Linked DNA regions of Astyanax mexicanus. The protein of the gene in region 1 purifies or fractionates together with the protein of each later gene. This does not show direct contact. Links are inferred from orthologs where the notes say so. Each region holds a gene or a part of one and is shown in the gene's direction. Other genes may lie near its edges. The genes, in order: rbm28 and rexo4.

Region 1 (7,289 bases):
CTGATGTATACATTCCATTAATCTGAAACAGAACCTGCTAACCACTTTGTTTTTCTGCAGGTCCTCCACTGTCATGTCCTCCAGGAATGTAAGCTTCAATGGGGTAGCGAGACACACGATCAGGAAGGGCGTTACATTCTATGCAAATGATTCTGTGGTCAACCCTGTAGCTGCTGGCCCACCTGACCAGCCCAGACCTCTTCTGCTTCTTCTGCCATGGTTGGGCTCCAAGCCACATGCCCTGGCCAAGTACTGCGAGATCTACCTCAAAACCGGATTCGATGTCCTAGCTGTGGAGACAGAGGTGGGACGGTTCCTGTGGCCTCGCTGGGGGCTGGAGTACGGGGGCCAGCTCCTGGAGCTCCTGGAGAGTGAACGTTTCGCACAGCGCCCCCTGCTGGTTCACGCCTTTTCAATCGGAGGATACACTTTTGCCCAGATTCTTATTCATATTGCCAGAGATCCCCAGAGATATCAGGGCTTGACCAGCAGGATCAAAGGACAGATTTATGACAGTCTGGTTGTGGGTTCATTGGAGCGGATGGCTATTGGTAAGAAAAAAAAAATCTATTGCACCTTTGTCTTCTGTGCTCTGTAAACTGTGCTACAATCTTAGATCCCCTCATACATTTTCTTTTTCCTTTTCTCTGCTCATTGTCCACTTTTTCTGTGAGTGCTCCTTAGCTAGGGAAGCTATAGTTTGCTGTATGTTGTGGACATTAACAGTCTAGGATGCCCCTAGACAAATTTGGAAGAAGAAATGGCTACATAAAGTGTCTGTAAAGTACAGCAATCTCCAGCCATCTGGTGATTGATACATATTTCAATATATGAGTTACAATATTTTGCAATGCTCTAAACAAGATGATATATAGCTCTGAAAAAACGTAAGAGACCACTTCAGTTTCTGAATCAGTTTATCTGATTTTCTATTTATAGGTATATGTTTGAATAAAATAAACATTGTTTGTTTTATAAAAATATATTGTAATTTAGAGCACTTATTGGTAGAAAATGAGAAATGGCTGAGATGCGGCGCTTTCAGACCTCAAATAATGCAAAAAAAACAAGTTCATATTCATTACGTTTAAAATCAATATTTGGTGGAATAACCCTGATTTTTACTCTCAGTTTGTATGCATCTTGGCATGTTCTTCTTCACCAGTCTTACACACTGCTTTTGGATAACTTTATGCCACTCATGGTGCAAAAATACAAGCAGGTCAGCTTGGTTTGATGGCTTGTGATCACTTATCTTTCTCTTGATTATATTCCAGAGGTTTTCAGTTTGGTAAAATCAAAGAAACTCATACATTTTAAGTCTCTTATTTTTTTTCCAGAGCTGTATATCTTTTTTGTTTTTATCAAAGTGTAAACAGTGATGACAGCTCTGATTGAGCAGCCTGAATTTAACGCATCTTTAATTTAATCTCCGTGTATTCCTCTGTCTTCCTTGCATTCCAGGTGTGAGTCGGAACTTGTTTCCCCGCTGGGGGCCTGTGGTAAAGCATGTCAGCCTGCTTTATTTCTACATGTTCAAACGCCAGACTGTGGACTACTTCAACATGGGCATTGACGCATTCAAGAAAACTCCTGTTCCAGCTCCTGCACTTTTCTTCTACTGTAACAATGATGCACTGTGTGATCCTGAAGCTTTGGAGGAAATGTTGGAACAGTGGGATAAACTGGGTATTTCTGTTACTAGCAAAAAGTGGGTAGAGTCGATCCATGCAGGGCATCTGCGTGCCCATCCTCAGGAGTACATGTCCATCCTGAAAAACTTCCTCTACTCTCTCAACATGGTGCCACTCAAGGCTAAACTGTAAAACATACATACAGTTACCTTATATTCAAGGTGTTTGATGTTTAGAATTTTGTTGAAAACACAATAAGAATTAATTTTAATATTATTGATAAAGTTGTGTGCCTTGACACTTGTTGCCTAACATAATTAATCAATATGAGGCATATGAAACTGTTTGTCAGTTAAAGAGAGGTTGATTATAAAATATAAAAAACCCTGGTGTAACAGTATGCTCAACCGTTATAATACCTCTGTATAGTGTTGTTCCATGTACTGTATTCCACTGATGTAAAAAGTACATTTAGACTTTTATAGTATGTTTTTTATGGTTTATATGTTTTGACATTACTAATGCACATGTATAAGTCTCCTTTTAGGGTTAAATGGTCACTTACAATAAAGAAGAAACACTAAGACATTAATGTACTTAAAAAAAGCTAAAATAATGTGGTACATTTCTTTTTAATTGAATTTATAAGAACTGTATGAAGACCAATTAGTGGTTAAATGTATTGTAAATTAAAATAAATATTTACCATCTCATTAAATGAATTACATAAACTGTGGTGAGCAACAATATAAGTGTACATTAATAATTTACTGCATATAAATATATGCAATGCCTCCAAACAGGAAAAATGAATAATCAAGATTGGCATTTTTTTATTATTATATTAATTGGATGCCATTATGAAATTCAGTTTTCATAATGATGACGGATTTGTGTGGGTGTAAGTGTGTTTGTTAAGAGAGAGAAGTTCACTGTATGCAATATGATCTTAATCCGTCCTCTTGTAGATTATAAACTGGAATAGCCTGTTCCTAATATTAGGTGTCTGCAGAAACAGGGTTGCCAGGACCAGGAAAAATATTCAACCAAAAGAGAGGTGAAAATCAGTACAACCGTGTCTAATAATTAGTGTAAAATGTGAATTTGTTAATTAATTAATTATTTTCCATAATTGAAAGCACATTAAAGGCTCGGGATATTAAATACTTACACTGCAGTTCTAGAAATAGAACTACTCTAGAGTTTGTATTTTGAATGGCAGAAGCAGAAATGGAGGGAATGGCTAATTAATCAATTAATAGAAAGATTAATTGCCAAATTAGTCCACCTAACCACATAAATGATCATTAGTTATAGCGTAAGTTTTCACAATTTCACAAAACTGTTGATTCATTATGACCCCAGTTATCTTATTTTAAATTAGTCACTTAATTACTTGTTCTTTTTAACCCTGTTAACTTTACAGATTACTTTACTCAATATACTTTAGACAATTTGGATTCATGACTGGGTGCCTTCCTGCCTCAGAATCTAAACTTCCAGCATTCTAATGACTCTTAATATATGTACATTTCAGAGTGAAATAGACAATATTTACCAAGTTTTAAAGGAAAGATGCAGCAGATCCATCCCTGATTGTGGAAACTCTACACTAGACCTCAAGCAGCTTGGACTGTGTGTCTCTCCACTCTTCCTCCAGACTCTGGGTCCTTGATTTCCAAATGAAATGTAAAATTTACTGATGATCAGTGATGGTTTGGAGAGACATGTCATCTGCTGATGTTGGTCCACTGTGTCATATTAAGTCCAAAGTCTGTGCCATATTTTCCTGAAAAATCTTACAGCACTTCATGCTTCCCTCTGCTGACAACTTTTATGGTGATGCGGATTTCATTGTTTTTAGCAGGACTTGGCACATTGCCCACTCTGCCAAAAGTATCACTTGGTCTTATATAATATTCTAAGTTTAGGAGACGCTGATTTTTGAGTTATCATTGGCTGTAAGCCAATTGCCAGTGGTCAGCAATTAAGTTTGGCTGTGGGCCAGATATTTTCCAAGCCATTATGTGGCGGGCCACAAAAAAAATTGAAAATGAAGTGTAATGGGATGGAGTGCTACAGACCAGTTGCTCTCCAGCCCAGAGGGTTGTTGAACCTAATTGCAGAACAGTTGAATCCAAAGCAGGTAAACCCAAGAAGAAAAAATAAATAAATAAACGCAGAAGCATTTGATATATTTTTTATTATCATTCATTATAATTGAAACAACCTCACATAACAACCTCAAAATAAATCAACGCTTAAAATACGTTGCGTAGTACATCTATATAATAGATAAGGTTCACATTTTGAGCTGAAATAAAGTATTTTTTCAATTATATTTTCTTTTTTGAGATGTATTAGTATGAGCTCTGTAGACCTCCAGGCGTGTGGGGGCGCTGTTCCTCAGCAGCTCCACATTAAGATGTGGAGGTATCCGGTGTGGTTGGAGAGAAGCATGTCAGCCCTGTAAGAAAACGTGTGTTTACAGGTTTCAGGGCTGGAGAACTGAGCGGAGCTGCTTATTATAATAATAAGTGTAGTACAGCGAGGCGCTGGCCGGGTCTGGCCGCTTCAGCGGGCTTAACTGCGGGGAGCGGAGGAGTATATTATACAGAGTTTAGAGCTGCTGCTGCTGCTCTATGTGCTTTAGTAGCTCTATAGAGTAAATCTGATCAGAATGGCTTCACTCACTTTATTCGTGTCTAATTTACCCGCTTCAGCCAGCAGTGCTGGTCTGGAGGAGCTGTTCTCTGAGGTCGGGCCGGTGAAGCGCTGCTTCGTGGTTAAAGATAAAGGTAAGTTTATGAGCTGACGAGGAAAAGAGTCCTGATTTTCTAATGTGTTGTTTAGAGTATTGTGGTGATCTCAGTGAAATAGGGGCCCTCATCAAATATAACATTTATATTCTAGTGGATTCTGTGTTAATATAAAGAGACCCTGAGGTGACATCATGTAAAAATATAGGGAAAAAATAATAATACGTGGCTACGACATATTAACGAGTGGGAACGAAATAAAAGTCGTTGGAACAAAATCCAGGTTGTGGGAACGAGATCCTAATGTTTGGCTACGAGTTATTGGGGCGTGGGAACCAGATCCTAATGTATGTCGACTATTTATTAAGGCGTGAGATCGAGATCCTTATGCATGTCCACGATTTATTAGGCCATTAGATTGAGATCCTAATATGTGGCCATGAGTTATTAAAGCATGGGAACCAGCTTCTAATGCGTATCCACGATTTATTAAGGCGTGAGATCGAGATCCTAATGCATGTCCACGATTTATTAAGCCATTAGATCGAGATCCTAATATGTGGCCATGAATTATTAAAGCATGGGAACCAGCTTCCAAGTTGTGGGAACGAGATCCTAATGTTTGGCTATGAGTTATTGGGGCGTGGGCACCAGATCCTAATGTAAGTCGACTATTTATTAAGGCGTGAGATCGAGATCCTTATGCGTGTCCACGATTTATTAAGCCATTAGATCGAGATCCTGATATGTGGCCATGAATTATTAAAGCATGGGAACCAGCTTCCAAGTTGTGGGAACGAGATCCTAATGTTTGGCTATGAGTTATTGGGGCGTGGGCACCAGATCCTAATGTAAGTCGACTATTTATTAAGGCGTGAGATCGAGATCCTTATGCGTGTCCACGATTTATTAAGCCATTAGATCGAGATCCTGATATGTGGCCATGAACTATTAAAGCATGGGAACCAGCTCCTAATGTGTATCCACGATTTATTAAGGTCTGGGAATAAGATCCTCATGTGTGGCCACAACTTATTAAAGTGTGCGAATGATATCATTAAGTCGTGGTGGAAATAAGTTACTAAAGAGCCCCTAAACCATAAATTTTTCATTAACAGCTGTAATGTGTTTTTTTTTAAAGTACTGAAACATACCAGTCCTGCTTAAAAAAATTATAAACTTTTCTTAACCCTTAAAAAACACTTATTTTGGTAATTTAAAATAAGATAATTAAGGACTGGCCATAAAAGAAGTCCTGCACACTGTTTTCATTTGGATTTATTGGTTTAGCTGTTGTGCAATCATGAAAAAGATTACACTGGTCAACCAGCATGACCATGATGACCAAGTTTCTTGGCTGGTATGACCATGTGAAGATATGAAGATGCAGTAAAAGTATCTTTAGTGTACCAAAATGAGACTAACAAACACACACACAGCTGTCCCCTGTTCCCTGATAGAATGTGGTTTATTTAATTTGTGTTTAACCTGCTCTATTTGTGTTTAACCTGTTCAGGATCAGAGAAATGTCGTGGATTCGGCTATGTTACATACTCCATGGCAGAGGACGCCCAACGAGCTCAGAATGAAATGAAACAGTATGACGGACGCAAAATAACCGTCGTTCCGGCAAAGAAAAAGATTCTTAAGCAAAAACAAGGAAGCAAGAAAGGTATGCATTTTTGTGTATGAAAGTGTATTCTATTTTAGTTTCAGTGTTTATCTAAAGGCTGTTTTCTTATCTTTATTGTTTCTTTTAAAATATTTTTACAGCCCCACAAGAAACAGAAGGTTCCAAAGAGGCAGCAGAAACTGAACACTCTGAAGAGACATCAGAAACCAAATGTTCTGAAGAGGCATCAGAAAAAAAAAGTCCTCAGAAGTCTAAAGGGACCAGAAACAATTCGAAGAAAGCCAGGCTTATCATCAGAAATCTTAGTTTTAAAGTGAGTAATATTATATCAAGTATATAACAATTTATAACAATGTATTGTTAATGTCCAGACAGTCTTCTTTCATATGCTAGCCCTGCATTCACACTGGCAGGAGCTTACACTGTGTGTGGATTTGTACCGGTGTGGTCGCTTAGCACGGAGGCTAATCAAGCAAGCTACCTATTGAGCCATCAGCTACTTTTATTCAGGCTTCATTTTCCTCCAAATTGTCAACACATTGTTGATTACTTTTTGTTTACAGTCAACTCTGGTCTTTTTAATTGTTGTTACCTTCACATAAATACAGGAAAATACCAGCATTTATTTTTTAAGGGATAGACCCCTCTAGTATAAATATAATAAAATCATAGTTTACACATTGTTGCACTGTTTGATAGTGTTTTCAGTAAATTACAGATATTTTTCGTTAATGTATTTAGTAAGCAATTATTAATATCCTTTGAGAAGTGCGGAATATATTAGTTTTACAAACACATTTTTGAATACCGTATTTTATGGACAGGATTATAAGGCGTGGTAAAAAAAAAAATAAGATAAGATATAAGATATATAAAAAATATATATATAAGCCACTTAGGTGACTTAAGCAGCTTGTACCAAATAAAAAAATATCATGTTTGTCCTTCATTAAAATAGTTATTCATTAATTGGAATTGAGACAAAATGCTATATATGTTTTTCCCAGCACTAGTCCGGTAGGAATAGTTCAGTGGAATTAAGGAACATTGGTTTAGCATTATTTTGTGCTTGTTTTGTTTTACATATAATACTTTTTTTTTAAGTGTTATTTCTGTTTTCTGTCTCTTTCTTCAGTGCTCTGAGGAAGAGCTCAAAGAAACCTTCTCAAAGTTTGGAACTGTCCTGGAGGCTACAATCCCTCTCAAACCAGGTAAAATCTGGCTTCTAAATCTGAGATATATTTTACGAATAGTGGTGTGTGA
Region 2 (7,324 bases), on another chromosome or scaffold:
GTATACCAATCTGCTGTAGGCTACTCATCTGTTTTAGACTAGACCACTTCAAATCTTTTTTACAGACCAGTCAGCTGTGGACCAGTCTGTTTTAGAGTAATCTGCCTTGAAGTTGCTCCACAGACCAGTCTACAGTAGATCAGTAGATTCTGTGGACTAATCTTCTTTTGTAGACCAGCCTTTTTAGCTCAGTCTGCAATTCTTCAGTAATCTGTTGTCTTGTTTTACATACTAGCTCACTTAAAAGCTGCTCTGTAGACCAGGCTATTGTTGATCAGTCTTTTATTCGGGCCTACTCTATTATAGATAGGTTTATTTAAATCTTTGTTCTGTACACCAGTTTGTGCCTTCTACAGACCGGTCTTTTATTGTGTAGACCACTCTGTTAAAATTGGTTGTATTGGCTGTAGACAAGTTGTTGGTTGTGGACAAGTCTGCTGTACAGGAGTCATATGTTGTTGAATACTTCTTTAGAACACCTTTTATTTTAGAATATACTGAGCTCCTTATGTAACAAGTCTGTTATTCACCAGTTAGTTTTCTGTTGCCTTTTATTATTGAATACACTTCTCAAAAAAATCTAGTCTACAATAGCCTAGACATGGTCTACTTTGATGCCACTCTAATGCAACATCTCTATGCAGTCACTTCTCTTCACAGCCTCTATAGTAGGGCTGATCACTCTTATCCATAATGGGATGCAGGTACCTCAGCCTTATTCTGGGCTACCTTCCCCCTCCATAAAACTGCACGACAGATGATCCTGATATCATCATACTCCACATTTAACTAACTAATATGGCGTGTCCAACACCTTCACGAGTCCCTGTATTAATGCAAACAGTGTTTTAACTGTTGTTCTTTATCTAATTACTCCAGCAGATGTGATTGAGTGATTTGCAAGTACAATACTGGGTACAGTAAGAGCTTGGGGCATACTGATTAGAGACTTGGCAAGGTGTCCTAGTCCTGAAGAGTTATTGTTTCGTGTCCCAACCATGAGAAATTTGCCAGGTTCACACGGTTCTGGGTCAGAGCTCAGCACAGAGTAGTTCAGGGTCATCACCCTCGTGCCTTAGAGTGAAAACTCAAGCCTCACTCTATTTTATTCAAACTGCTGATGTTTGGAAAGAGAGAGAATAATGAAAGGAGCATGAAATGATGAAATGAAATGAGCTTAAGAGGCTTTCCAGTCCCTGTGCTCTAAAGTACAGAACCTGGAGAACTGTCAGTCATTCCACTTGAATATAGCATGCCTACTCCAATCCCAAATACCCTCACCCCACCCACCACTGCCACCCCTGTGTATTTAGCAGTTTAAACTTATTTTTAAAAAATATTTTATTTTTCTTATTTATTTCTTTGGTGTTTTTCTTTTGCTTTCTATTTTTACATGAATGCCTGTTGAATTTCATGTTAAATATTTAATAATTTGCATCACAAAATGACCCATTTTGTCAAAGTTTTAACTTTGTAACTCCAAATATGACTTGTTTTTAAAATATTGAGGTAGTATAAAAAATATAATTTATATTCTGAAAATGACAAAAATGGTAGAGAAAGTATTTTTATTTACCATGTGTATTTAAAATGTAAGGTAACAAGTTGACATTTTGAGATAATCAGTCATATTCTGACCTGGCAGAAACATGTTACTTTATTTTTTTTTAACCCTTTCTGTGTAGGGGTGTGCATATGTGTGTTTACATGCAGTGGTTTAGCAGTTGTTAAAAATATTGATAATAGCTGCTCTGAGATTTTTCTTTTCAAATATATACATTAATAAAATATACATGCTCTTTGAACAGTGATGAATGTGAGCTTTTGGGTGAAGAAGGCTGAGAGAAAGGACCTATTCTTTTACTTTTATTTTTGTATTTTTTTCTGATGTTGAAGCTGAATATTGAAATGCTTATTGTATTTTGTATGTTTTTGTGTGTTTGAGGGAGAGAGAGTAGTCTGATGATTTATAATAGAATGACATGGAATTAATTTGCTGTAAAGAAGGATTGCTGTATGTGTAAACGTGTATAAAATAAATTGTATTAAAAAAACTAAATGCCTGTATCTGCAGTAGCTTTGGCTTTAACATATAGTAACAACATTGAGAATACTATGAAAGTTATGTTTCTGCAATCATTCATTTTATTAGCTACTTTAATTCATTCATAATTAAGTCATTCTTAGCACTGCGGGTACATTGGCATGGAGGTGGTGCTGCTAGAGTTTTTAAACACTGTGTTGAAAAGGACAAACTTATCTGGATATTTCTAGTTTGTGGGTTATTTTCCTAAGTCCAACATTGAATGTGAGGTGTTTAAAAACTTCTGCAGCACTGCTGTCTGATCCACTTGTACTACAACACCACACACTATCACCACATCAGTCCCACTGCCATGCTAAGGATCTAAAGATTAGCCACAATGATCCATAGTGATTCCTACTCTGCGGCATGCCCAGGCAGTTGGAACTGCTGTGAGTTCTTTTAGAAGCCCATTATTAGAATACCAAAATTCCCTCATTTGTTTTTCTGTATATTTGATCTTATTGTAACAATGACTGAGGAGGTCAATCTCAACACTCTTTCTTGTTACTTATAATATTTCTTAGATCTTATTTATTTTTAAAATACAAGTTTTGGGAAAATTACTAAAATGTGTTCTCATGTTATTAGCATAGCCACAATTTAGCTATTTTCATGTTTTTGCTAAAAACTCAGTCACTCATAACATAAAGAGTAACAGGACTAACAGGGGTCAGGGGTGAGCTCCAGTAACAAACCTGAAATTGATCAAATTTATTATCATGCAATTTATTAAAGAAATTGATAAATAATGAACCAAACAGAATAGGAAAAAGGTTTTTACATTAACTAATATTTATATGAATAAATCAATAAACCAGGGAACTCTACTCACTCCTGTTACTGGAACTCTCTCCTGTTACTGGCACTTAGTCCCGTTACCGGCACCCAGTCCTGTTACTGGCACTTACTCCTGTTACTGTCACTCAGTCCTGTTAATCTTTATGTTATGGGTAACAGGACTAAGTTTTTAGCCTAGAATTAGCAAAAACATGAAACATGGCCATGCTAATAGCAAACGTGATTTTCCCAAAATTTGTATAAAATAATAATAATAAGATTTAAGAATTAATTTAGGAACAAGTGTCATAAGTAAGTCATAGTTACAATAAGATCAAATATACAGAAAATCAAATGAGGGAACTTAATTTTGGTCTTCTCATGGTCTTCAGAGGAACCAGCTATTGTCACTTCCTGTTGTAGATGTGACTTGTAGAATGTTCCAGATTTTTCAGATGGTAATATAAAACCCAGGGACACAACTAAAATGTGCATATTATCTTAAGGATTAATTATGAAAAAATTAAAGCATACATGGGATTTGGAATCACACAACTATGTATAAAAATTTTATCTGAAGAATTTTAATAATTATATTTCATGGTAAAGTTTATAGTTTGAGAGTGGGGACAGCGTTCTAAGTAGTTTTTTTTTTTATTAATGTTTTAATTACAAATCTTACTTTTGCAACCAGGTCAAGGTACAAAAAAACTATGCTAAATAATAAAATTTATTAAAAAATTGTTTTGTGTGTACATTTATACATGTAATTTCTTGGGGACAGAAATGGCACAGATCCTGCGGAATATGCCTCGTAGTTAATAAGGAACGACAACAATGTATTTATAAGAAACATTATTAAGATGAAGAGGGTACAATTGTTTAACTTTTTAATTAAATAACACATGGAGAAAATAATGTTTAAAAAGTGAAACTGTGACATCTAGTGCTAGACCTCGGGTAGAGCAGTAACTATTATGTAAACTATTATGGGAATTACAGTGAAAATCATCTAATCCCCTAATAAAACACAAACCTTTAGATACTTAAGATTATTACAGATATTTAAGAATATTCCAATACGACGTTAATGTGTTTATAGATCGTACAGTCCGATTAAACCTCGAGTACTAATTTAATTCAGTTTATTTCCAGAATTCTCCACTGGGAACTCAGAGAGCCGCGCTCAGGACCCTTTACCCGCCGGGCCGCTTTAGATGTTACACACAACTGAAACACGCATGGTGGCTGCGTGGATCAGAACCGATCTGTAAGAGCGATTTAAACCTTTCTGTTAGACTGATTTTCTTAATTAACGTGTTTATTTAAAAAAAAAAGATTTTTTTATTAGACACCGATTACCCCGCCAGTCTCCTTCATCGGGCTGGTTTCTGTAGTAAAGGAGCAGAACTCCAGAGTTGTGTGTGGAGTTGTGTGAAGTTGATATGGAGGAATAAGCAGCGTCTTTAAGCTTCACAGTTTAGTCGATTTGATGACTTTAAAAGAACATCTAACGATGTCTAAAGGGAAGCACAAAGGACCCAAGTCTGATGTTCGTGCTGCAACAGAGAAGCAAGCTAAAGGTCCGGATAAAAAAGGGGAGAAAAAGAAGAAGTTTTTCTTTCAGCGCGTGGACAAAAAATCTAAAGAGAAGAAAATACAGATCCTGCCACCTAAAGAGGCGCAGCAGTTTTCATCTAACTGGAAAAGCCTCCTGGAGGTGAGCTACTAAATGTTCTTCCTTGCAAAATCCATTCCTCGTTCTGTTACAATTAATGTCAATGTTCAAAACAGATTTTGAATCCTTTATATCATTCATATACAGTTCCAGTCAAAAGGTTGGACACACCTCTTCTCATTGAATGTGTTTTCTTTCTTTTAATGATCTCTTCATTGTAAATATAATATTGAAGATTATATTTAAGCTATTCAGAAACACATGTAGAATGATAATTGTAAACAAAAAGTGTTAAACAAACCAGAATATGTTTTGTACTTTAGATTCTTCTAAGTGGCTAGCTGGTCAGCTGGAATAGTTTTCTCAGTGTTTTGTGAAGGCTAAACACTTTTTTATTATTGTTTACTGTAATTCCATGTGTCCCTTAATTGTTTTTAATGTCTTTAATATTAATCTACAAAGTCCAAATTTAATTAAATAAAAAACATTGAGTGAGAAGGTGTGTCCAGGTGTGTTTGACTGGTACTGTATTTAAATTTTTTTTAACAGTTTTTTTTGTAAGAATCTGCAGGCTTAACTTTTAAGAGAATTCTGTCTCCTTATACTTGGCTAGGTTGATATTTGTCCCTTCCTTTTGTGTGTCTTGTTGTTAATATACACAGTACACAATAAATACAACAGACGAGACAATGTAACAGACCGGACAGTGCAGTACCAATACGGTGCAATGAATGTTCTGGGGAAGATAAGGTGCAGAGATATGTAACATATAGAAAATACATGATCACAGCAGTTACTGAGGTAGAAAGTTTATAGTTCTATAGAAGGAAGCGGGAAAGACTACTGATAAAGACATTTCAGTCTATTTTTGTGTGTGTGGAGAGATTGGTGGTTTAAGTACATGATGTATCAGTAAGCCCAAAAAATACACTCGATTAACAAAGGCATGTCTAAAGTGGAATGTGAACACTAGATTTAGACTGGCAACTGTAAACACAAGTTTAATGTCCCAAAAGTGATTGAAATCAAAGGTGAGCAAAAATGAATAATATATCAATATTGTATTTATCATTCTGGGCCTTGTTTTAAGTATGTGTATGTTTGCAGCTTGCACATTACAGTCTCCTTGTAGGTCTGTCTAAAATGTAGCCTAATATTGGATTTATATGGAGTTTCTGGATCCCCACCAGAGAGAATATGTTGCTGCATTTTTATATTTTTTGACTGACATTTTTTATTGTGCCTTCTTTATAATGCAGGTTCTGAACTCTAAACAGGGTGCAGACGGTAAGAAGGACTCTTCACAAAAACAAGTACAATCTAAAGCACCGAAGCCTCAGTCAGCAGTAAAGAAAGACTTCCACAAAGCTCAGCGAAAACCAGATAAACACATAAGCAAAACAGGACACGGACCAAACAAGGACCTTAAGACACCACAGAGTGTGAAAACTGAGAAGCCAGAGACGAGCAGTGTCCAGCAGACCAGCAAAAGTCCTTCAGCACCCAAACAGCATAAAGCTGAGAAGAGGAAAGCAAAGGACTGTGAAGGAGGACCTGAGAACAACAAAAAGAAGAAAGTGGAAGAGGTGGAAAAACAACCAACAGAGTATGTGTTCATGTTTTTTTATCACAATCTATAGAATCTGAAAAAACATCAGACTTGTCATTCTTAATAATGGATGCTATGATATCTACTTTGTCTTCATTTCAGTTGATAAAAGACAATTCCAATATCGATATGATCAGTTTAGATGCCTTCACCTCTGCTTTACATCATTACGCACTGATGTAGTCAGGATATGAAAGCATATTTTTTTTGCTCTTTCTGCTCATCCTTATTTCAATAAACAGCAGTACATCACCAGTCGGTGACAGATACTAAAGTAGCGTAAATTAGATCATATCACCGTTTTTTGAAACATGTTTCCTTGAGATATATATTGATACAATATCTAGTATATAATAAATAGTATATTGTTGTATACTGTATAATATACAGTAGGAGTGTAACGGTACAGAAAATGTACGATTTGGTTCTAATCTCGATATAAACCCCATGGTTCGGTATGTTTTCTGTACGGTTGGTGGAAAAAATTAAGAGGCTGGGCATTCTGTATAGCCTCTCCTTTATTAACTTCATAATAACAATTAATCTTCATTATCATGTTTTATTTTTTTGGATGGTATGTTGTAACGGAGCTTAAGCCCTTTTATTAAATGCTTGAAACCAGGGTTCTCATGAGAGGCTTCATCTTTTAGATCTTGTTGGAACAAACGCATCAGTCTTCAGTTATTTTTAAAAAATCTCAGCATTGGGTCACATAAAAATGAATTAAAATCACGATTCATTATTTTTTATGCTGGAATAGTGTAGTGTGGTCTGGCAGACTAGATCTTTTTGTTCTGTATTATAATATGTGAGAGAGAGAAAGAGAGTGTGTACGAGTGAATTATCTGCATTTCTATGTGTGCTTTCTACTTGTGTGCTCCAGCCTGCACTGTTTCCAGTCAGAGCAAAACTTCTCAGGACAGGCTATGGGCTAAGTCAGTATTGAGTTGCTAATAGCAACAGTGCTACAGTTACTCTGTCCGGGTGCAACACTTCATTAATTACGTATTATGTTCATTGGTTCCACAAGTCTCCTATAGACTGCCTGTGCCATGTGACTCCCGTACTGTCATGGTTCGTAAAGAATACATCTACCATTGCACCCCTGATATACAGTCTATACAATAATAGCCTTTACAATGTATTTAGAATTATATCGCTGTCTAAGTGTATT

What was found.
Region 2: the proteins of rbm28 (region 1) and rexo4 purify together in Homo sapiens (affinity purification with mass spectrometry; 3 studies listed by BioGRID and IntAct, with this or other methods). This does not show direct contact. The link is inferred for Astyanax mexicanus from reciprocal best matches to the Homo sapiens genes RBM28 and REXO4.

The regions. Positions count from the first base shown.
Region 1 is NC_064416.1:15,735,852-15,743,140, forward strand, and holds the start of rbm28 (RNA-binding protein 28), read left to right. Parts: upstream 1-4,052; 5' UTR 4,053-4,314; coding exon 4,315-4,432; intron 4,433-5,909; coding exon 5,910-6,065; intron 6,066-6,166; coding exon 6,167-6,339; intron 6,340-7,161; coding exon 7,162-7,237; intron 7,238-7,289. Other genes in the region: si:dkey-5i3.5 (transmembrane protein 53), read left to right, coding at 61-551, 1,465-1,826. UniProt on the Homo sapiens protein: Nucleolar component of the spliceosomal ribonucleoprotein complexes.
Region 2 is NC_064424.1:25,787,757-25,795,080, reverse strand, and holds the start of rexo4 (RNA exonuclease 4), read left to right. Parts: upstream 1-4,061; 5' UTR 4,062-4,355; coding exon 4,356-4,583; intron 4,584-5,800; coding exon 5,801-6,147; intron 6,148-7,324.